Linked DNA regions of Rattus norvegicus. The protein of the gene in region 1 purifies or fractionates together with the protein of each later gene. This does not show direct contact. Links are inferred from orthologs where the notes say so. Each region holds a gene or a part of one and is shown on either strand. Other genes may lie near its edges. The genes, in order: Tbpl1 and Gtf2a1.

What was found.
Region 2: the proteins of Tbpl1 (region 1) and Gtf2a1 purify together in Homo sapiens (affinity purification with mass spectrometry; 5 studies listed by BioGRID and IntAct, counting the BioPlex papers as one, with this or other methods). This does not show direct contact. The link is inferred for Rattus norvegicus from reciprocal best matches to the Homo sapiens genes TBPL1 and GTF2A1.

The regions. Positions count from the first base shown.
Region 1 is NC_086019.1:24,592,680-24,604,541, reverse strand, and holds the start of Tbpl1 (TATA box-binding protein-like 1), read right to left. Parts: upstream 6,922-11,862; 5' UTR 6,835-6,921; coding exon of another isoform or gene 6,713-6,834; intron 5,082-6,712; exon of another isoform or gene 4,928-5,081; intron 1-4,927. UniProt on the Homo sapiens protein: Part of a specialized transcription system that mediates the transcription of most ribosomal proteins through the 5'-TCT-3' motif which is a core promoter element at these genes. Seems to also mediate the transcription of NF1. Does not bind the TATA box.
Region 2 is NC_086024.1:116,223,524-116,234,753, reverse strand, and holds part of Gtf2a1 (transcription initiation factor IIA subunit 1), read left to right. Parts: intron 1-1,554; coding exon 1,555-1,630; intron 1,631-2,884; coding exon 2,885-3,018; intron 3,019-3,268; coding exon 3,269-3,589; intron 3,590-7,294; coding exon 7,295-7,384; intron 7,385-10,616; coding exon 10,617-10,724; 3' UTR 10,725-11,230. UniProt on the Homo sapiens protein: TFIIA is a component of the transcription machinery of RNA polymerase II and plays an important role in transcriptional activation. TFIIA in a complex with TBP mediates transcriptional activity.

The DNA.
Region 1 (11,862 bases):
GCTGGCTCATCTACGAGTTTTTAATCCGCTGTCTTGTCAGATCTTTGTCCCTATGCCACCATAAGAGCATAGAACAGAGAGTACTTTCAGAGTAGCATACCAGGTTTGCTGACTATCTATGAATTGGTGATCATTTTCAACATGGCTTTGCTTCCATGACCTCCCTAAGTGAAGATCCTGGGATGTGGCCAGGCCATGATCGATTAAAGGCTGCTTAGGACTACTTCCCCCAGGCTGTCTGAAGCTAACGGTGAGGGGATGCAGGATGTACAGCAGTCATAAGCAAGCGAGTGACAACAGCTCTGTAGCTCCAGAAAAGTGTCTGACAAAGGGACGGGGTGAGCCTTTTCCCACAAAGGCTTCGAGTTCACTTTGAGTTATCAGAAGCTCTGACTAACCTTACCCATCTTCCTATCTGCACCCTGGATTAGAGATTAGATTAGCTTCATACCTTCCCATCTGTACAGCAACATCTGCCCTCAAATAGTAAGGTGGAAAAAAATACCAGGGAAACCCTTCTCCCAGCAGGTAAACTTTATTGTAAAGGGCAGTACTAACATACTGCCCTCAGGTCCGTCTCTCACGCCACCTTTCTTTTTGAATGGAACCACATGTAGCCCTGGCTAGCCGGGTGCTTACTATGTAAGTGTGGCTGGCCTCAAACTCAAGAGATCCACCTGCCTCTGCCTCCACCACACTGAGATTAAAGCTGTGAGCCACCATGCACATGAGGCTCAGGACCTGCTTTCTTAAACCTATTCCAACAGTCTTCAGAGTATCTGACGTTAAAGGAGCTATAAGCATACACTTGGGTTGGAGAGCAGAAAAACTACAGTCATTTCTCCTCACATCTGTCTCTGTTCTGTTGTCTTAAGATCTGGGATCAATGTGGCCATGACAAAAGGGTTAAGAAAATGTAATCATTATAAGATGGATTCTGACGAATCTACTTGCTCACCTAAATCAGCAGGATCCGCCAGGCTTCACTTTCTTTAATTAGGAAAACAAAAACAAAGTCTTATCTCTGAATACAAGCATCTTGCTAATCTCAGGTGTAAAATGCAACACAAACTTGGGAAAGGGAGCTAAGGAACTTTATCACCTCTATATATGAGGAGCACACCTTGCTTTGTGGTATGTGTGTGTTGGGGGACGTGCGGGGTAGAGACCTGGGCCTGACACATTTCAGGCAGTAACTTCCACTGAGTTAAATACACTATGAATGATGGGATAGTGTATATTTTATAAAATTATTATTTCAATAAGAAAACAGGATTTAGACATTAGACAACAAAGAAGACAATAGTTTGAAATCCACTTTAAGCAAAACTTTCTTTTTGATACAGGGTCTTGTTCTGGCTGGATTAGAACTCACAGTGATCCTCCTGCCTCAGCTTTCTGGGTACTGGAATTATAGACATGCTCCATCAGGCTCAGCAAAATTATTATTATTATTATTATTATTATTATTAGTAGTAGTAGTAGTAGTAGTAGTAGTAGTAGCATTTTAGTAGTTTCAAGTGTTCAATTTGACTTAACTTTAAATTAGCTATCTTGATAGTCAACTGTAATTATCAAATTACTTCCTAGGTTAGATAGTTTCAATATTTGGTTTGAGCCTTACCATCATTAAAAAATTAAGTTTTCCATTCAAAAGCCCTTTGGTAATCACTGTCACAGCAACAGCGTTAGCTCCTTCTGTAACTCTAAAGGATACATTAATCTTACAGCTGTAGTGGCATGGAAAACTCAAATGACTGATCCGGGTACTAACAAATTTCAAGTGTATCGTCAATTAAGGTATACAAGTAACAATGCTTTCTAGTCAGGCCAGTCCTGCCAAATGAGTCAACGGGGCCTGTTTCTTCCACTCAGAAGACTACACAGGCAGGGACGCCGTCAGGCCCACAGGGAGGGAAGCAGCCTTTCAATAGCTGTGACCAGGAGCCAGACCAGGCTTTGTTGGTTTCCCTTCTCTAAGAAATGTACATGTCTGGCTTTACTTAGCCCATCTGCTGTAAGTGATAACCAGATGCTCCTGTGACAATTAGACATTTTCAAAGTACTCCCCTACACTAAAACCTAATAGCACAGATGAGTCTAATAGGCTGGGATCAAAAGGAACGTCAATAATGTAACAGCAAGTCTGGGAACAAGAGAAAGGAGAGATCTGATGAGCACGCAACCGCAGAGGACCAGTGCTCAGAGCACCTGCTCACTCTCTCGGCCTCACATGACCCTTTAAGCTCAGATATTAACTCTACATTGCAGACAGTGATGCCACACCATTAACAAAAGCAGACCCCTGATGCTCAACACAGGTGGCTGCTAAGTAGGCAACAGTTCATACCTTTAATATACCCACTCTAATACCAAAAATGTAACCAATCCTCATCAAGTTACTGCTTACAAGTAAGAGCTTCAAAGTTTGTAGAAGGAAGGTTGATTCTTTTGAAACTAGTATTTCACTTAGTAAACTAGCCTTCATCCAGGCCAATCTATATACGAAGTTGTCTTTCTTGCTAGGCACCATTAGTACTCACAAGTCATGACAAAATGCTGTCTGTAGCACACCATCTAATTTCTCCCTTTCTTCCTCTAATCTTGTGTGTGCACACAAATGCGCCTAAGTATGGATGTGCAAAGGCTACAGCACAGGGATCAGGGACAACCTCACATACAGGTCCCCACCCTCTCTCTACCTTATGTAAGACAGGCTCTCTTGATTCAGTGCTGCTTCTGACAGGCTAGCTAGCCCACAGGCTTTGGGGGGACTCCAGTCTTTGCACCCCTTCTAGTCACAGGATCACAAGGATTATAGACACACCACCCACCTCCTCTGACTTCATGTGGATTCTGGGGATCTGAACTCAGGCCCTCACATTTGCATGCCAAGTACTTGTCCCAATGAGCTCTCTCCCTAGACCTCAGCACTTTCTAATGAGTAAATACTCTAAGGTCAAAATAAACGATAGCCAAACGTTTGTACTGTATGGGAGGGGGTAATATTTTAAAGTTTTGGTGACTCCGTGTGAAGAGAAATCTAAACTGCCCAAGAAGTTACTTTGACGTAAAGATTAAACATTTAATAAGATTCCTGGTAACATATTTCCTTTCATAAATCCAACCATTCAAGATAAATTATCTTCTGTGTTAGCATTTAGTCACAGTTAAGAACAGGTAAGCAGAATTTCCTACGTGGTCTGACTATTTGCCATTGATGACATACTTCTAGAATCTTGCTTTTTCACAACTATAAAAACAACATATATTCTATATCCCTTCTAAAAAAAAAAGACAGAATGTATCATAATAAAAAAATATCACATTTGTCTAGGTGTCCTAGAAGACCCCAGGTCTGTCTCAACTTGTAGAACTCTTCCACAGTGGTACTCCTAAGATGCACACAGTCCCTGTGTCTCCTGCTCAAGTGGGAGCAGTCAGTCCTTCTTTCTATAGCTTGGATTCGTTAAAACAGCCCTAATCATGCCTCTGACCTGCTGGTGCCTACAGGTGCACCACTACACAGAGAGTAACGAACAGATGTGACACAGGAAGACTTAGGTGTCAGAAGGCTTTTCTCAGGGCTTGGGCACTGGCACACAAGATAGGCTCTGTTTCATCTGCTAGGAAAGCCCCCAAATCAGTAAAATCAACATGCTATCTCCATATAGTAAACAAGTCAGTCTTCAAAACACACCGAGGATATGAACACGCGATATGGCCATGATTCACAGTGCTGACCTTCTAGAAGCTTCTTGTATCAAGCAGGCATGATGATGTCTACCAACCAACAGTTACAGTACCAGTACATATGTAATACAGTATCTGACACTTAAATTTACCTCCGTCATGTCATGTTACCCATGTCTGTCACTTCTCTGTCAGCTACCCATACATAAAAAGCACACTTCAAGTGGCACCAGTCAAAAAAGGTGTGAAGTGCAATGGACAGGAATTTCAGGAAAATTTTATAGTTCAAATGTCAGCTAAAAATCTTGACACTAAAAGCTTTAATTTGGAAACATGGTGAAAACTTTCTACTGTAAACGCTTCCAAAATCAATTTAAACTTTATTTTTCATAGTAATAATTTCATCACATTGTTGTTGATGCAACAGGAAGAAATCAACCACCTAGGGTCACTTACTTAATGTTTAAATGTCCTCATGTCTACTCAACTACACTATACAGAATTTGCTACCTTTTAAATAATGTCACATTTCTGATCAGAAATGACATTTCAAAATAATGGTTGTGCCCCATGATCTGTTGTACATTATAGCAAATTCTGCACACTCTTCTCACAGATATACCCACAACATTTTTTATCAGATTATTTTCCACCTGAAGAAAAATGTGTGGAAACCACTTTTGCACTTCCTTTAAAATCGCAAAATGTAATTTTAGCCAAATATTCAGATGCAAAATGGTAAGATAGGTGTTGAAAACAGCTTTAGACCAAGAATTACAAAAACCTTATGTTCTGTTTATAACACATAACAGGTCTGTAATATCTTTTTAACCTCAAAAAGAGTGACTGTCTATAGTAACAGTAGTACCGCATGGGCTTCTAAATACCCCAGTTATCAAGAGCTCAAATATTATCACAGTTTTATTTCAATACAATCTTTTGCATCAGAATGAATTTGAAGCTTAGCAGTTATTCTGAAATATAGAACATCTGGCATGTCCACTCCAATTCTTACCCACAAAAAGGGTTCATATGAAAATACAACAAAGTACCATTAATGAAAAACATACATAAGCCCAGGGCATGTGCTGAAAACTCCCTATGAAGCAGAAAAACATATAAAAGTATAAAAAGCATTTCTGATCAGGATACAATTGAGGAGAACACGGAGTCCTGGGGCCAACACCACGGAAAGCCAAAACAGGATTAATAAAAGTTCGACAAGAGAACTGACCAGCATTCAGGGACCACAGAAGACAGAGGGCTCAGCAAACAGTCCAGGTGAAGAAAGTCTAACGGAAACGCTGATGTGCAGGGAGTTCCTTAGGATACACACTGAAAGTTCCAAGGCTGGCACTACAACCCACAGTGGATGATCACCAAGTAGCCTTCACAGAATAATAAAATAAAAATAAGAAGCAAAAGTCTCACCCTGGCTTCTGAAATACTGACTTTTTCATCTCAGTGTTCAAGTCTCCAGTCCTTTTAAAGGGAAGCTGCTGATCTCCTTGTCAATCTGAAAGTACTTCAACTAACAACACTGGACCCCAGAGTCCCAGTTAGAAGCTTACAATAAAACAAGGACTTAAAAACTGTACCCTGCCTGGCTCCTCTTCAAGAAAGCACACAGCTCTAGATCATTACAGTTCCTGGCACTCATTTTGGGAGCACAGAATATACAAGAGGCCTGGCAGTAACAGCGACATCCTTTGGCTTAGGAGAAGCCAGGCTTAGCAACTGAACCTGTGGTCAACATATTGCCTAGAAAATTATCAATGCTGTTTCCATCATTAATCTTCAACTTTGTATGAAGAGCCTTGGTCCTACTGACCATAAAAATGTTATTACTGTAGAATGTAACCTTTCCGGACCACAGAGGAACTTTACTACCGATGGGAAAATCAGTTTTGTTTTGTTTTCTGAGGCAGACATCTAGTGCAGGAAACTTACTATTATGTACCTAAGCAGGCCTTGGACTCACATTCTCCCGCCTCAGTCTACCAAGTAGTCTGTGATGCAAGTCTGAAGAACACAGACTGATGAATATTTAACTGGGCGTATCAAACCCTAAATAATTCTTTCAACCAGACAGTGCTAAAAGTCACTCTTGATTTGAATGGACTGCTTGCTATTTTCTCAAACTTGGAAAGAGCCTGCGAATTCTGGCCAAAGTCTGAATGCCCTCCTTCCATTCCCCTTTTTCAATGACCTCACGGAATCTGAGCTTCATACACAAGCCACAGTTCTAGGCCATTCTTCTTAACCATAAGCACGCCAAGTTCACACTAGTCACTGCCAGTCTCACTCGGCAGGTGACAGATGCAGTAAAGCTCACAGATGTGGACTGGCTGCAGCTTGACACTCGGTGCAATGTGCACACTGGCAGAGCCTGCAGATGCACGGCCTGCAGATGCACAGCTCGGCAAAGGAGTGTTTTCTATTTCAGTCATTTCCCATTTTATATACTTCTAGAACCCGTCCAGGCGATTGTGCAGCGATTATCGCCTCCTCCTCCCCCAATTCTCATCCCTGCTCAGCCCTATTCACAATTCATTTCTTTCTTCCCGCGTTCCAGATCCTTCTTCCCGAAGCTTAATTTGGCTACTACTATTATTATAGAGCGGGGCTCCCGGCAAGTGCCAGAAACGACAGGCGACGGCGCCGCTATTTGGGGGAGCCCTCGCGCAGCTGCTCCAAGTTTCCCGAGAAGCCACGGACCCCTCGCTTAGTGGCATGGTCCCTTTTCCCCCTGGGGGGGAGGTGCTCCAGGACCCGGTCCATCCCTGCCCGTCCGTCTTCCTCCGCCAGGCAGGCGCGCCCCACCCCCACCCCGTTATCCCTACTGGGATGCCCGAACCGCTCGGCCTGTCCTCTGTACTAGCCGGTGGCCCGCGGCGCTCCCATGCTCAGGTCCCCGCCCGCACAGCTCCCCGCAGCCCAGCCGGCGCGCAGACGCCCCGCGGCTGCTCCGGGCCCCGCGGGTTCCGCGTCCCCCTCCCCGGACCGCCGACGGGGTTACCGTGGGAAGACGGGGCGGTCGTAAAGGACGCGGCGGCAGCGCTGCTGCTGGTTGCGTCGGACGCGGAGAAGAAGCTGGAGGACAAGGATGAAGATGAAACGGGTTCGCTCCCCAGTCTCCATGGAACTCCCGCCCCGGCCCGTTGCTAGGAGCCCCCCAAGGCTCGAGCTCCGTTTCTCGCTTTGTTGTTCCGGGTACAGGGCGGCCGCTGCTTCCCCCGCGACAATAAATAGACTAGACGCTCGGGAGCATAGAGATGGGACGAGGCAGCTAGAGTGCCGCCGGACCCGGGCACTCCGGGTATCCGCGCTAGCCACTCACTTCCGGTTCTCGCTGCTCTCCTCGCAGCCCTGGCCCCCTAGCTCCTTCCTCCTTCCAGAAGCCGCTGGCAAAGTCCTCCTGCCCGCGGGATGGGCGAGGCGGAAGTGGCCAGAGGGCGCTGGTTACCCGGGCTGCGCTTCCCTCAGCTCACCGAGGGAGGGTTGGAAGCCCCGTGCATGTTTTCTGCTCATCGCTGGCGAGCAGCATAGCACAAATGGGCTTTAATTTCCATTTAAACCAGAACTGTGCCTAGCACCCAATCGTTTATACAGACAAGCTCAGCTAGCAGCCACTGGGCCCTAGTCCTGACCAGGGGGTCCCGGGGGTCCCGGCCTTACTCAGCGAGGGCCCGGCGTGGCGGGAGCAGTGAGGCTGGCCGGACGCTGGCGACGCACACTCGCCGGTTTGAACGGCCGCACCGTGCGGGCCGAGTGAGCCCTCGGGACGGCGTGGGCCGTGCTTCCTGCGGAGCGAGACTCATAACGGCCTGAGAGTCGCCGCGCGACCCCGCTCTTGCCCCTGCTGGCTCGCCCTGGACGGTGGGGGAAGCCAGCGGGTTAAAGGCCACGTGAACCGGGTTCCTTAGCTGTTTGGCCTTTGACGGGGACCACTCCACTTGGCTTTTTGAGAATGACTGACTGACTACTGAGGGTTTGGGAGTACACAACTAGTAGGGGATTTTAAGTATTTGAGGGGTAGCCAAGGATGCCTATTCTCCCTACTGTTAAGTATGAAAACACGCGCGTACACACACACACACACACACACACACACACACACACACACACACACACACACACACGGCACTCGAACGTTTTAAAGCTCTGTAGGACAAATTTGCTTCAGTTCTCATTTTTTGAGCAATATTAAATAGGTGTGATTGTGTGGGATAGAACGAACAAGAAGCTGGGTGAGAAAGTCATGCCTGTGGTGACTGATTTCGACAGATCTCGAAGGGATGGCACTGAGAGGAAAGAGGATATTGAGGTCTGGCTACGCTGGGGAGGGCGGGGTGTCAATAGGAATAGGGCAAAGTGAATACAGATAGAAAGTGAGAAGATGAAGTTGGAGGGGAAGTAAGACCCCAAACCATCTGCACCTTGCAGACGGGACTTTGAATTCTCTTCCAAATGCTAGGGAGTTCGTGCTGGCGAGCAACGGGGGTATGGTTTACTAAGAAAAACGATAACCACTAAACGCTCTATTTTTAAGGGCCACTGTCCCTGCTTAGAAGGCAATTTTACAACAATGGCGACTGATTCTAAGGTCTTTGTGATACTTTCATTCAAGCAGCCCAGCAGGATACCTGGAACATCTAGTGCCTTGTACTTCAGGTTGCCTTTTGTTATAGCCAAGGAGCCTTAATTGGATATAGTTTGCCTGCAAGTTCCATTTGCTGTGGTGCTGATCTTGATTGTTAGCCTGATTGGATTATTCTTCGCCCTGGATGATTAATAGAGCACACTTGTAAGTGTATCTGCGATGACGCCTTCAGAGACAGATGGATTGCTCGCAATAGATTCATTACACAGTATGGCAGCATTACTATATGGAAATGAAAGGTAGGCGAGGCCTGCTGGGAAGAAGTAGGTCATGGGTGTGTCTTTAGCTGACATTTCTTGCCCTGGCCCCTGCTTTCACTTTTCTTCCTGGAGGAGCGATGGGAACTCTCGCACCATGCACTCCTGGCCATGATGGACTGGCATCTGTGCGTGAAACCCTCTTTCTTCCCCTTTGATCTGACTCCCAGACAAAAGTAACTTATATGGCCCTTTCCCACTAATGACCAGAATACTTCCATACTATCATACTATCCCATTTATTGTCCTTCTGACGGAGGAAGTCCCTTTTAGTGAGAGAAGTGGGACAATAGCATCTCTGCTCGTACGTGCGCAGAAGACTGTTGTGAAGTTGCCATCTGCAGCCTGCTGTAAACTAAGCATCCTATGAGCGCTGTGGCACTGACACTTAAAGAGGCAGTTACAGTTGTCTTAACTGTAAGACGGCGGGGCAGTTCTCAACCTTCCTAATGCCGAGACCTTTTAATAACAGTTCCTCATGGTGTGGTGACCCCCAACCATAGAGTTATTTTCATTGCTGCAGCATAACTAGATTTGCTACTGTTACGAATCTTAATGTAACTATTTTTTCTGGAGAGGTTTACCAAAGGTGACGTTTAGAACCGGTCAGTCAAGGACAGTGACTCCCTATTCATGCTAGACCAGAGAGATGAGCGAGCTTCATTGGTAAAAGTTCTGCAACTGCAAATGTAACATAGAAACCATGACAGCAATATTGACTGTCAACTTCCTGGGGATTAGAGTCACCTGGGAGGCAGACATCTGTGCACAACTTTGAGGTAGTTTCTAGATTGGGTTAACTGAGATGGGACAGAAAATGTGGGTTGACACCATTCTATACACTGGGAACCCTGGCTGAACAGAAGGGAGAGACGTGGCTAGGTACTAGCGTTCATCTTTCTCTGCTTCCTGACTGTGGATTTAATGTGACTTGCTGCCTTGTGTTCCTGTCATACACCCCCCCACCATCATAGGATGTGCCCTTACACACCATAATAAACAGCCCAGATAAACCCTTCTTTCCTTCCTTTGGTTGGGAATTTTGTTGCAGCCTTGAGAAGAGTAATTAGTACACAGGCTACAATAATTACAAGCTGTTCCAGTCAACAATGAAATAAGACTGAAATCTAAACGGACAGGTTGGCATTTTTAATAATTTAATATCACAGTATTTTTTAGTAACTTAAAAAAATCTACAAAAATGTATCCTTTACTACCGGCATTTTAAGACAACAGCAACTGTCACAGTAAGTCTGACTCTAAGAAACTTAGATCTTCAAATGAAGCTACAGGAATGTGCTGGCTCCTCTAGCCTCCTGTAGTCCTGCAAAAGATGGGAAATAGGATTGAAATCATGTCACACCATTAAGTATAGTTATTTCTGCCAGTGGTTAGCTTTTCTGTGCTGGTGAGGATCTGCCATGCCAGTTAAAGCAACGAGGCTTTTTGTCTCACACCAAGTTAGAGACCAGGGAACTGTTGATGTGAGAGCTGCCCCATTCCTCAGGGGCCCTCCTCTGTGTTGATATGCCCCATTACCATAGACAGACCTCCCATTACGCCAGCTGAGCGGTAAACATCTTAGCAGATAGCATGCTGCTAATAACACAGCTTCATAAGCCCAGTCTACTCCCCAGCCCTTACTCCCAGGCAGACTTCATGACAAGAGTCACTGAACAGTAGCTAGGCTGGTTCCCAAGAGATAGAGAGTGGTAGGGGAAGGTTCATACTCAAATTCCTGTCTCTGTGAGCTTCCCCAACAAGCTGATGGAGTTCCTCAAATGACATTAACTGACAGCCTAGGAAAGAACTACGGCATTTCTGGAAAGTCCTCAGTAGAGCAAACGATTCCTAAGGTGATCTGTTTTCAAGGACAATGTCCGCAGGCTTCAGATCTGGTAGAAAGATGAGTTAGGTTGCTTTCTTGCTGTACCTTTGGGGCAGAATCTGATACAAGAGAAACATGGGTGCTGTAGAGGGACAGCCCTGACTCCCTCCTGTTTAGCCAAGCACAGTGGATGCTCATCACCACCACAAGCTGCTTTTCCTTGTCTGTTTTCCTCTTCTTTAGCATACAGTCCTACACTGTTTGGCCACAATCAGACCTGAGCGAAATCAACAGTCTAAAGATTCCTGAATTTGGAGTTTAAATTTAGTAACTGGGTTTTCGACTACCGAGGATGGATTGCATGTTTGTGGTAGTATGTGGGGTAGCTGACTGATGTTAAGCAGAACTACAATGGTGAGTACGTACGCACACACACACACACACACACACACACACACACACACACACACACGTGAGTGCTCACACACCTTCTTGTCACAGTATGCACTGAGAAGACACCTTTCATGAGTGAGTTCTCTTCTTCCACCATGTGGGCCCTTGGGATTGACTCTAGGTTCTTGGGTTTGGTCATAAGTGATTTTACCCATAGAGCATCTGACTAGTTTATTGGAATCTTATTTTTTATTTTATGGAACTCTTCTCTTGGAAAAGTGTTCATCTATCCTTTAGGAACTTCTCACTTCTGGTCCCCAGCCAAACAATCAGTCAGCAAGAACTTCTCTAATAGACAGAGAAGCAGGTTTCTGGCCTGAGCTGGCCAACTAGATAGACCCGTGTAGGCCTGGCTTTCCTAGAATTCACTGTGTAGACGAGGGTGGCCTTGAACTCAGAGGTTCACCTGCCTCTGCCTCTGCCTCTGCCTCTCTGCCTCTGCCTCTCTGCCTCTGCCTCTCTGCCTCTGCCTCTCTGCCTCTGCCTCTCTGCCTCTGCCTCTGCCTCTGCCTCTGCCTCTGCCTCTGCCTCTGCCTCTGCCTCTGCCTCTCTGCCTCTCTGCCTCTGCCTCTGCCTCTCTGCCTCTCTGCCTCTCTGCCTCTGCCTCTGCCTCTGCCTCTGCCTCTGCCTCTGCCTCTGCCTCTGCCTCTGCCCTTCCCACTGTCCCCGCCCCAGAGTGCATTAAACATGTGCACACCCACTGCTTTGGCCTCTTGGCTCTATATTCATTTGATTCCTATTTGGTGACTAGTCTAGCCCCTACAGTTAGTTAGCTGTCTGTGCTTGGTGTCACAAGGTTGGGTTTCTGTTAGTTGATAATGCTGCATATACTGAAGTAAAGTTTTCTTTTACATTGTGTTCCCCCACGAGCTCCTATAGCATAGAAGGCCTTGTTAGACTCCATGTTCTGCAGCGCAGGTGACTTTGACAGCCCTCTCTATGGGTCTCAGGGACAGCAGCAAAGTCTC
Region 2 (11,230 bases), on another chromosome or scaffold:
TGGGAAGAGTTGGGGTAGGGGTGGCATGATTAAGATGTATAGCATATATTTCTCAAATAACTAGTAATTTTTTAAAAAAAGAAATAGCTATCTTGAATAGTCCAAAACAGTTAATTTTCAATGTTTATAAACCTAGCATTCCTGTACTTACGTTTAGCTGACCTCCTGACACAGAAGTGCCAGTGTCGGTATATGTTTGAGAAGTAAATGATCTCAACCACCTTTTGCTCCTGAACTGCACAAAAGTCATTTTTATTGCTTTCGTTAGTTTCTCTAAAGCATATACACTTATTTTCTTAAACTCAAGGTAAATGTTGGTCTCCTAAAATTTTATAAATTAAAAAAATAGTTAATGGTTGTATGTTTTAAGGAATATCTAAACGTAATGGAATAAAAGCTACCTAAATGAAGTTACAGTGAGATGCATAACAATGTTTAAAAGTACAAAATTAAGCTAACAGAATGATAGAAACCTTTTGGGGCAAGCAAGAAGAATATAAGAATTCTTTGGAAGAACTAAATGGAGTCCACTAGAGCTGTCATAGGGCACTGTGTAATCCCTTCTCTCAGGAAGCAAAGATAGGAGGATTACCAGTTAAGCCAGCCTAGACTAGAGTAGGGCCCCATCTTAAAGAAAAAAAAAAAGACCAATAGTGTTGGTACACACTTCTGATCCCTGTACTTGGGAGGCACAGGCTTCAAGTTGAAGACCAAGTTGTCTGGGCAGTGAATTCCAGACAAGAGAGGATTACATGCAAGATTTACTTTAAGAAAAAAGGGAAAAAGAGTTCGCGCGCGCACGCGCGTGCGTGCGCTCTCTCTCTCTCTCTCTCTCTCTCTCTCTCTCTCTCTCTCTCTCTGTGTATACACAAGTATTTCTTAATTTAGGAAAAATATCTGGAGTTGAATAATTCTGGCTTCGGTGTTTGGGCTAAGAAATGCTTAACCTATTGCATATAGTATCTGGGTTACTGTGTCAATGTGCTCCTGTTCCTTTTAGAGAATATGGTGTCTTAGAATTGCCAGTTACAGAAACCAAAGAATTCTGAGGTAATATTGTGTGGAGACCTGTTGATTCTGGTAGTAATGTAGAAAACCAGGAAACAAGGATGATTTGATTTTGGTCTTCAGTGATGTGTATAAAATTGTGTGTAAGCAACTAAAAAATGGTTCCCAGTACACGGTCCAGCAATAATGGAATGGTGGTCTGATATGGTACAACATGGCTCTTAGAGCATATATTTCTAAAAGCATACGGGTTAGACTCAGACTGTGAGAGCTTGAATCAGGAATAAAAAAACGCTTCCGTATAAGGTTACTTAGAATAAATTCTCTAAGGGAACTAAACAATTGGACCGTCCTTTCTTGAAGTACTTCAGTATGTTATTTAGGCTGTGCTGTCTGTTTTGTGCCACATTGAACTTAATCTTGTTGCTAGAATGCTATCATAATAAACTCCTTCCTGTACTGCTGTGCTGGCACTGCCAGGAAACTAAGATTTTGTTGCGTGCACATGCAAATATGACTTTCTTCCTTTGTTTTTTATTATTCCAGAGTGCTGCTGCTACAGCTGCTACCTTGGCGCTCCCTGCAGGCGTGACTCCTGTTCAGCAGATACTAACAAATTCAGGTAACTAGAAACGGGGGGCAGCTTTAAATGTTGTTCAGAAGTTAGCATCAAGGAACTCTAATGGTTATTGTCACTGAAGAAGGAGGACAATACTGACACTTGTTTGAGCTTTTGTTTAGATTGTTTAAATGATTTAAGTGTTATAAAATAGAGAGCTGTAATCTTTCTTGAGGCTACAGTTGAGAAAATGGAAGTTATAGCCGGGTTTGGTAGCATATAATCCCAGCAGTTTGGAGTTGGAGGCAGGGGGTCAGAAGTTCAATCTCAGTCTACTTTTATAGAAAGTGTGAGACTAGCAGAGACACTGCTTTAAGAAGAAAAGGGGATAGAGCTTTTGTTCTTGGATGGAACCCTGCTGAAGAGGCATGATTATGTAGAAATGGTTATGTACTGGGATTTTACTAAGCATCTGTCTTGCCAAATGACTTAAGTGAGATATTGTGATGACCAAGTTGAACATTTCACAGGCCTGAATAGCTAATACCTGTCATTTTATTTTTGTTAATTTCTAAATTTGAGGAACCAGTTAGGGCTTTGTCTTGCTGCATGTTTTTGCTCACTCTTAAGGATTCTGTTATATCTAAAGGAACATACACGAGAGTATTGTATATATTATGTTATTTGGTCATAATTTCGGCATTCTAATTGACTCACAGCAAATTTTCATTGCATATTGAAAATTTTAAGCAAACCTTGTGCTTTGGTTTAAGATATAAATGAGATATTATACCTTTGTGCCTTTAAAGTTTAATAACAACCATTGAAATATCTGATCCTATTTACTGCATTTCCTTGACTGCTACCATATGACGAAAAGTAATTAAGGCTATCAGAAAGTATTATTTATTTATATATATATATATGTAAATATATTTTTTCCAGTTTTAAATTCTGTATATATGGGTATTTTGCCTGCTTGTATGTGTGTGCACCACATGCTTGCAGTTCCTTGGAATACCAAAAGAGACCATTGGATTCCCTAGGACTGGAGTTAGAAATACTGTGACTTCCCATTTGAGTGGTGGGAGTGAAACCCTAGACCTCTGGACTAGCAGCCAGTGTAACCGCTGAGCAATTTGGATATAGAAGAAAACTGGGAACAGTAATAGAGTGTAAGGCGTATAGTTGATAGTCCTCTGTAAAATGCTTACTCTTCTAACTTGGTAGGTTCTTTGGCTTGAAAGCAATATAAATTTCTTTGTGTTTTAATTGCTGCTTAACTAGTAACTTGGACTATATTCTTTTTTGCCATAGGCCAGCTGCTTCAGGTAGTCAGAGCAGCCAATGGTGCCCAATATATCTTTCAGCCTCAGCAGTCAGTTGTTCTACAACAACAAGTTATACCACAAATGCAGCCTGGTGGAGTACAAGCGCCTGTTATCCAGCAGGTAATGCAGTTTTACCTACCATCCCCTTGATATTCATTTTCTTTGGCTTCTGCCTCTGCTGTATGACTTTGTGTGCTTCCCCGCTCTTTTCCTGGACAGGTTAATAGGTGTACAGCAGTCAAGAACAACCTTATTCTGAGTTAAGATGATATGCCTTCAAGCACATTTCTCATGTTTAAATTATTATTAGTTTGATTTTGATTTTGGATCCCTGTAACCAGTTTGTAATAGGTGGTTTTGTTTGCCCTAGGTCCTAGCCCCACTTCCTGGAGGGATTTCACCACAGACCGGTGTCATCATCCAGCCACAGCAAATCTTATTTACAGGGAATAAGACTCAGGTCATTCCTACGACAGTGGCAGCGCCCACACCAGCACAAGCACAGATCCCTGCAGCTGGACAGCAGCAGCCACAGGCCCAGCCTGCTCAGCAGCAGGCTCCATTGGTGCTGCAAGTTGACGGAACAGGGGACACATCTTCTGAGGAAGATGAAGACGAAGAAGAAGACTATGATGATGATGAAGAGGAAGATAAAGAGAAAGATGGAGCCGAAGATGGGCAGGTGGAAGAAGTAAGTTTCTACAAAAGCCTTGAAAAGAAAAGGCGCTCACCATTCACTATTGTATTTGGTGCTAAGCAGACAAATTATACACTATTTTTTCAGAGGGAGAGAGAGGTGGGTGCTTGCACTGTTGATTGTACTATAATTCGATTATCCGTTTTTGGATCTATTGATTATTTTGGTGGCTTGTGTTCTGGAGCTCCTGCATTTCTCTTTATGGACATGAACTTGCCAACCTAACTGTATGAGTCTATCTTGCCATTTTGTCTGTAATTCGTAAACATCAGTGTGTTATCACTTCATGATAGAGCAGACTGTTAAAAATTTTCCAGTCTGAAAACCAGTCTCTCGGTTTGGTTTTAGTTTGAACTTCTGTGAGTACTTAGAAGCTTCAGTTGCTTCCGTGTGTTTACTGTTATTTATTTTTTACTATGTTGAAATGGCAGGTAGCATTATTTCCAACCGTTTCCCACAGTTTTAGTCCTTCCTTAAGTGACATTTACATGGTATTTCTTCAGATTGCTTGTGTAATAGACATGTATAGAATTTTTAAAACTCATCGTTGAGCCAGCCTGATGTGTTTATAATAATGTGTTTGTTGACGCTTTTGTTTTTTATATAGAAGTTTTTTTTATAATGGTCTATTGTTTGTTATTGTTGTTGTCATCGTGGTTTTTTTCATTTCCTTGTACATGTCTTTTGGGGCTAAGTGAGTTGATTGCTTTTGTAATTAACCAAGTACTTTGCTTTTTTTTTTAATTACTAGGAAATGTATTTTATTATTAAATGCCTTTCTGCAACTCTTAGTCACAGTATCACATTTATAGCCTGCTATTTATGAATTTTATTGAGTGGTCCTACTTTGTAAACCAGTATTGAGTTTTCATTATGGCACAGCTTGGTCATTATGTATTATCCTCTCTAACTGCCGGACCCACATGGACAGAAGTTTTAGATCAGTGTTTATGAATGCGTTTGTAATTTCTTTTCTCTCAATCTTCTCACCAGTTCTCATGTTGATAGTATCCTTATGAAAGAATTTGTAATTTTTTTAGAAACATGACATAATCTCTTCTGTGATTTTTTTTTTTTTTTTTTTTTTTTTTTTGGGTTCTTTTTTTCGGAGCTGGGGACCGAACCCAGGGCCTTGCGCTTCCTAGGCAAGTGCTCTACCACTGAGCTAAATTTTTTTTTTTTTTAATTGTTTTAAAGACAGGGTCTCATTAAGTAGCCCTGGCTGGCCTGGAGCTCAGTGCCTCCTATGTTCTAGAATCAAAGGTGTGTCCCACTGTCTGTGCCTGGCTAAATTGGGGCGGGGTGGGATGTGTTTTGCTTTTTGTTTTTGTTGTTTGTTTTTTTGAGGCAGGTTCTTTTTTTTTTTTTTTTTTTTTTTTTTTGGTTCTTTTTTTTTTCCGGAGCTGGGGACCGAACCCAGGGCCTTGTGCTTCCTAGGTAAGCGCTCTACCACTGAGCTAAATCCCCAGCCCCTTGAGGCAGGTTCTTACTATATAGCACTGGCTGTCCTAGAACTGGGTATGTAGATCTTCCTGTCTCTGCCTCCCGGGTGATGGGGTTAAAGGCTTGTGACAACCATGGATAGCATCTGGGTATTTGCTTCTTGTTGTTGTATTTACCATTGAACGACCTATCCCTCAGCTCAAGAGCATCTATGAAAGTTTCAGTCTTACAACTGTAAGCAATTCAGTTCTGCCAGCCCACCTGAATGAGCTTGGAAAAGACTCAAAGGTTTAGGTGACAATATGGTATCTTGTGATGCCATAAATTTTAACCTATGTGAGACTGAATAGGGAAATTTTCTATATTATGCTATGCTTATACTTTTGAGCCTCAGGAACTATAATAACAGATGTGGTTTTCTTTTCTTAAGCATTTTTAGTCATTAGGGAAATGGAAATCTAAACCACAATTGGGAGGTCGTCATACCTACTAGGAAAACTATCATTAAAAAAAATTATGTGTCTGGTGGTTTTGTCTGCATGTATTTCCATGTATCATGTGTATTCATTGCCTATAGAGGCAGAAGACAGGGTGTCAGATCCCTGGGATTAAAGTTAGAAATCGTTGTGAGCTGCCATGTGGGTGCTGGAATTGAACCCAGGCTCTCTGGAAAAGCAGCTAGTACTCTTAATTGCTCAGCCATTTCTCCAACCCACACTGCTGTATTTCTTTTTAAAAAGAAAGTTTATTGATGATGATGAGGATTAGGAAAAATCGGAACCCTTGTGTATTTCCAGTGTGAATAAGAACCAAAACAGCTTTCACAGAAAACAGGGCTTTGAACACAGAATTAAGCAGAGTTAGCCATGTGCTGCTAAGTTTCACTTGCAAATGAACATAGGAAAGAATTGAAAACAGGAGTTCAGACAAAACCATGTACATGAGTGCTTACAGCAATACTCTTGTCACTTTCCAAACAATACAGACATCCTGAATGTCTGTCAATAACTAGTGAATGGCAAAGAAAAAGTGGCCTATCCAGACAACAGGACAGCATTTGACCGGACTGTAAGGAAGCATGAAGTGCTGTGCGTGCTGCTACATGAGCATACACGAACACCCAAGCACAGCACAGACACCCACAAATTGTATTGCTTTATTTATGTATACAGAACAGGCACATTTATGAAGTCATAACGCGGATTGGTGGTTGCCAGGACACAAGAGGGAATAGAGAGTGATTGCTTATGTAAAGGTTAGTGGAGTGCTCTGGAGCTGTGGAGACAGGAAGTGTATGTTCTAAATGGTTTTATCGTTTTTTTCCCTAACATAGACATTTCTGTTCAAAGAGTATATTTGTCACACACCCCTATGTATGAGTGGCATACACCAAGGCTTTAATATCCTCAATTATTTTCCTTTCTACCTCTGTTTTGTCTTGTCTTTCCCCTCGTCATTTAAATCTGAGTTAAAGCTTCTGTCTTACACCACAAATGAAGTTTAACCTTATTTTATCAAACCCTTCTTTGGTTTTACTTTTGCCTCTGAGGCGGTTCATCCTCTACGTTTAAGAGTAATTTAAATCTTAATGATTTTTTTCCACCATGTCATCATGTTGATAAACAGTACTGATTGGCTTTTAGAATCTTAGTTTTTAGTACAGCCCTGAGGCCACACTTTGTTTTCTTCTTCAATGCCATTTTTTTTCCTTTTAAACTGTTGCTGGTACATAATACTATGACCTCATGAGGCCGTCATATCTTCTCAGGTTTATTCCTAGGCTTATGAAACAGGGAAATTTGTCTTGAGTACTTATTAACGAGTAAAGAACAATTTAAAAATGATGTGCATGATCGATTTTGCCTACATGTGTGTTTGTTTACTGTATGAGTGCCTGGTACCCAGGGAGGTCTGAAGAGGGCATCTGAGATTGGAGTTAGAAATGGTTGTGAGCTGCCATTGTGAGTGCTGGGCGTTGAACCCAGGTCTTCTATGGGAGCAGACAATGCTTTTTAATGAGTTCCAAAGGAAATAAATGTTAACCTTTTGAGTCTTGTGAGTTCCCTAGCTTAACTTTCCTTAATTTCTTGCTGAAGTAACATGAGCAGACCTTAAGCGTTGACAGCTCTGCATTCAGTGTGTCCAGATACACACCTGACGTCCTCAGAACATCCCAGCTACAGGAGCTCTCAGTAAGAGTTACAGGAAACTTTATAGCAAGCGGTGCATGAGATCTGTGTCTCCTTTTGTTTGCAGGAGCCCCTCAACAGCGAAGATGATGTAAGTGATGAGGAAGGGCAGGAACTCTTTGACACAGAAAATGTTGTTGTATGCCAGTATGATAAGGTAAGGACTTCACATTCGGTCGTGAACGTTGTTTTTATTGTAGTCTCTCTAAACCATCTTTTCAGCCTCACTGAAACATTTAGGCAGAAGATGACTGCCTGTATTTCTGTTTTTCTTTTACTCCTGAGACCAGGTTTTATTTAACAACTCAGGATGGCCAGGAACTCCCATGTGTAGCGAGCTAGCTAGTCTAGGATGACTTTGTATTCAACTGTACTCCTGCTTCAATCTGGGCTTATAGGCACATGCTGCCTACCACGTCTGGCTTCCTGACTTGTTATAGCCAGTGTGAAGGGACGCATTGTGACTGCTTCACGGTTGTTTGAGTAGAATGAGTAGAACTTGACTCCTTAACATTGCCTTGAAGAAAGTAATGGTAAGATGGTGAGAGATGATCATTTTCATATTCATCCACCTTGTAACAGCCCCCCTGCCTTCCAGGGACAGAACTAAGGTAATAATTTTTTCTTTCCTAAACTTCAGCTCTCTTGAGTCTGAAAAGACCTTATTGATGAGTTTTATGAGCTTTCTTAAAATTTTACGGATTTTGCTGTTCAAGGAAGTTTTAAACCAAACTATTTGGGAATTGATCATTGAGTTTTGTAGGCCCCCTTAGTTTATAAGGTTTTGGTTTTTTGGTTTTTTTCTTCCCTCCACTTTTAAGTGTATGATATGAGTGCTTTGCTTGCATGTGTGTATGTCTGTGCACCATGTTTGTGCCTAGTGCCTGCCTGCAAAGGCGAATGGAGGTTGCTCAGATGCCCTGGAGCTGGAGTTACAGGGCAGTTGTGAGCTACCATGCATGCTGGGAACCTAGCCTTGGTCGTGTGGAAGAGCAGCCAGTGCTCTTTATGGCCTGGTATTGCAGTTGATTTAGTTTTCTGTAGTTATTTGTTAATAGCTGTCAGTGCAGCGGTTCCCAGCCTTTCTAATGCTGTGACCCCTTAATACAGTTCCTCATGTGTGGTGACCCCAGTACCCCACCACCACTAATTTATTTTTGTTATGCTTCATAACTGCAACTTTGCTATTGTCATGAGTCTTAATGAAACATGTTTTGTTTTTTAAACTATGGTCTCAGTTTGTGTGCCAGGCTGGCTTTAGCAGCAACTCTCCTGCCTCAGCCTTTCATGGGAACGACTATATTCAACTTTTTTTTTTTTTTTTTTTTTTAAAAGAGGGTCACATCTTTGGCTGGTGACAGAAGTGGCCTTAGAGATTCTTCTAGAGCCAGTGCCTTCGATCTACATTTTTTGTTCTGGAAAAGTAAAAGGCCAAGGAGAACTTCTAGGCCACACTAGACCTTCAGCCAAGGTCTGAAACATCTGTTTTCTAATGGTCTTAGGCTATCCTGTGGAAAGGTTGGTCAGCCTCCAAGGGTTGAGAACTGCAGTGTTAGTGTTCTTCTTGGGATTTTTATAGTTATGTCATTAATCAATAAGTGCTTATCAGTCATGAAATTGATTGTAAATTCACATATTATTGATTCTTTTTGTACCCATGTGATTCTTTTCTTAAACAAATGTTTAATGAGTAGCAGTCAGTACTAAGTACTCAGTGAGTAGGATTTGGTTATGAACATGTAGTATTTGTACCCTGCATGAAATTCCTTCAGATTAAAGAGATCTTACTTTTTTGTTGTTACAGTGAGTATAAGTAGCTATGCCTAGTCAAACAGGTCTTTAGGGGGACTGCCAATACAGTGTATCGTCTTAATTAGAAAAAGGGTAAAATCAGGTCTGTTATATGATTGATCTGTTTTTGTGCATTGTGACTTCAGATGAATGCTTTTAATAACCTGTGTCACAAACTCTACAGCAGACGGTATTTTTTGTCAGCTGCATAAAGAGTATGAGGTTAAAACAGCAACTAGTCTGAAGAGACCTACTTGCAGCCAAGTACCCAAACATAGTTTCATAATGGCAGGTTACAGACAAGAGCTTGACTGAAGACTATTCCTCAAAGTGCTTTCTTATTTTAAGAAGATAGTGTATTCTCCTTTGTTGAGCTGTATTCAGGTTTTACGTGTTAATTAAAGTTGGTTTGTCTGGCTCTCAGATGCATTCATATTTTAAACTAATAAAATGTGAGTAGGTTTATATAGCCTCGTGAAAGACAGTTTTAGAGTTTTCAGAATTCTATTTGAAGAATTAGAAAGACCGAAAGAATAGAATGTGCTTCAGCAAGTTATAAATGGTGAGGAAGCCTGAGTTTTTTTAAAATGAGGAATGAATGTGGCTTGAGGCAATTTGGGTTTTTAGTAGTTTTGTTTTGAAGTCTAAGCTTTGTATTTCAACTGTGAGTCAATTTAAAGAAAAGAACAGAAGGAATAATGAAGTTGTTGCCTGACAAGTAAGTCGTGGCTTAGTTTAAATGCTAACATAATAACAAGTTTCGGGTAATTGAAGAACTGTTGGGCATTGGTGAAAACAGTATAGTGTGAGGCTTCACCATTGTTAGAAGATAATTTTACTTGAAGGGCTTAGGCTAATAAAGGAATGCTTTTAAATTTGTACTTTGTACTCCTTTACAAATACAAATATTACTCAATATGAGTTCAACTTTGAGTTTCTGGACTTCCCTCCGAATGTGAGTCTCTGTTCTACCTTTATTCTAACATTAGTCTCTGTTCTGTTTTAATGAGGGAAGTTTGAGCCTAGAGCAAGAACACTCAGTGATTTCCAAATGCACAAAACAATGTTTACATCAAAAACAGTGAGTGCTAGGGTCAGTAAGTGAAAGTGCGAGGACATAGGTTTCAGGGCAGGTAAAGTCTAGACAAATTTCTAATTATAATCAGATAGACATTGAATAGCCATTTGTCATAGATATGCAGAGGGTGTCTGTGCTAAGAGGACAGGTCCTAGGGTTTGAGGATTGAGATCTCAGAGATGGGCATCCTGTGAGCGTTTTATGTGCATGTGTGAAAGGTCCATAGTAGGTTTGGAGAGCACTGCTATTCGAGTTTATTTTAGTAAAAGATGTAAGGCCACAATTGTATTGTTTGCAGATAACTCATAACTGTTTTATTTGAATACAAATTACTGAGAGCTGTTAATGAATTATTAAAAAAATTAAATCTACACCCTGTTTTTTTTTGGCCAAACATTAAGAAAATTTCAAATTTCTTTTATGAATAGTAATTATATAAGATGAAGCTTGTGGTTTTATTATGAATGAGGTTTTGTTGTGTTTTCCTATTACATCTTTTGCATTTTTAATTTTTGTTTAGATACACAGAAGTAAAAATAAATGGAAATTTCATCTCAAGGATGGCATTATGAATCTTAATGGAAGAGATTATATATTTTCCAAAGCCATTGGAGATGCAGAGTGGTGAAGAGTCGCTTCTTTCCTTTTATAAATAAGACAAAAGAAACTTAAAACGTTAACATGGACGGTTTGAAACTTGGGACATATTTCAGCCAAACCTTCACTTCTGCATGTCAGAACAGCGCAGTAGAAGCAAAGCTACGGGAACAAAGCTAGGCCTTGACCACATAGACACTACTTCAGACTGGCGAGCCATGGAACTGTAGCACCTGGGGCTGCTGGGCGGGGGGAGGGGTTTGTGTAGGACAACTGTAACTGTCAATTTTAAATACAGGAACCTGCCATTGGTAATTAGCATGTAAAGCTTTGTCTATATTCGTTTCCAAGTTGAGCTCAATCAGAAGATACGTGTTGGAATGACCTGAAGAAATTACCCTTTTGATAGATTGAACTGAAACTGCTTATTGTATGTGGTTATATTTGGTAAAAATTGCGTGTGAGCTTTTTACAGAAGGGCAAGAATTATGGTGTTGAATTTTAATTCATTTGTATAAGAAAATTTAAAACTCATAA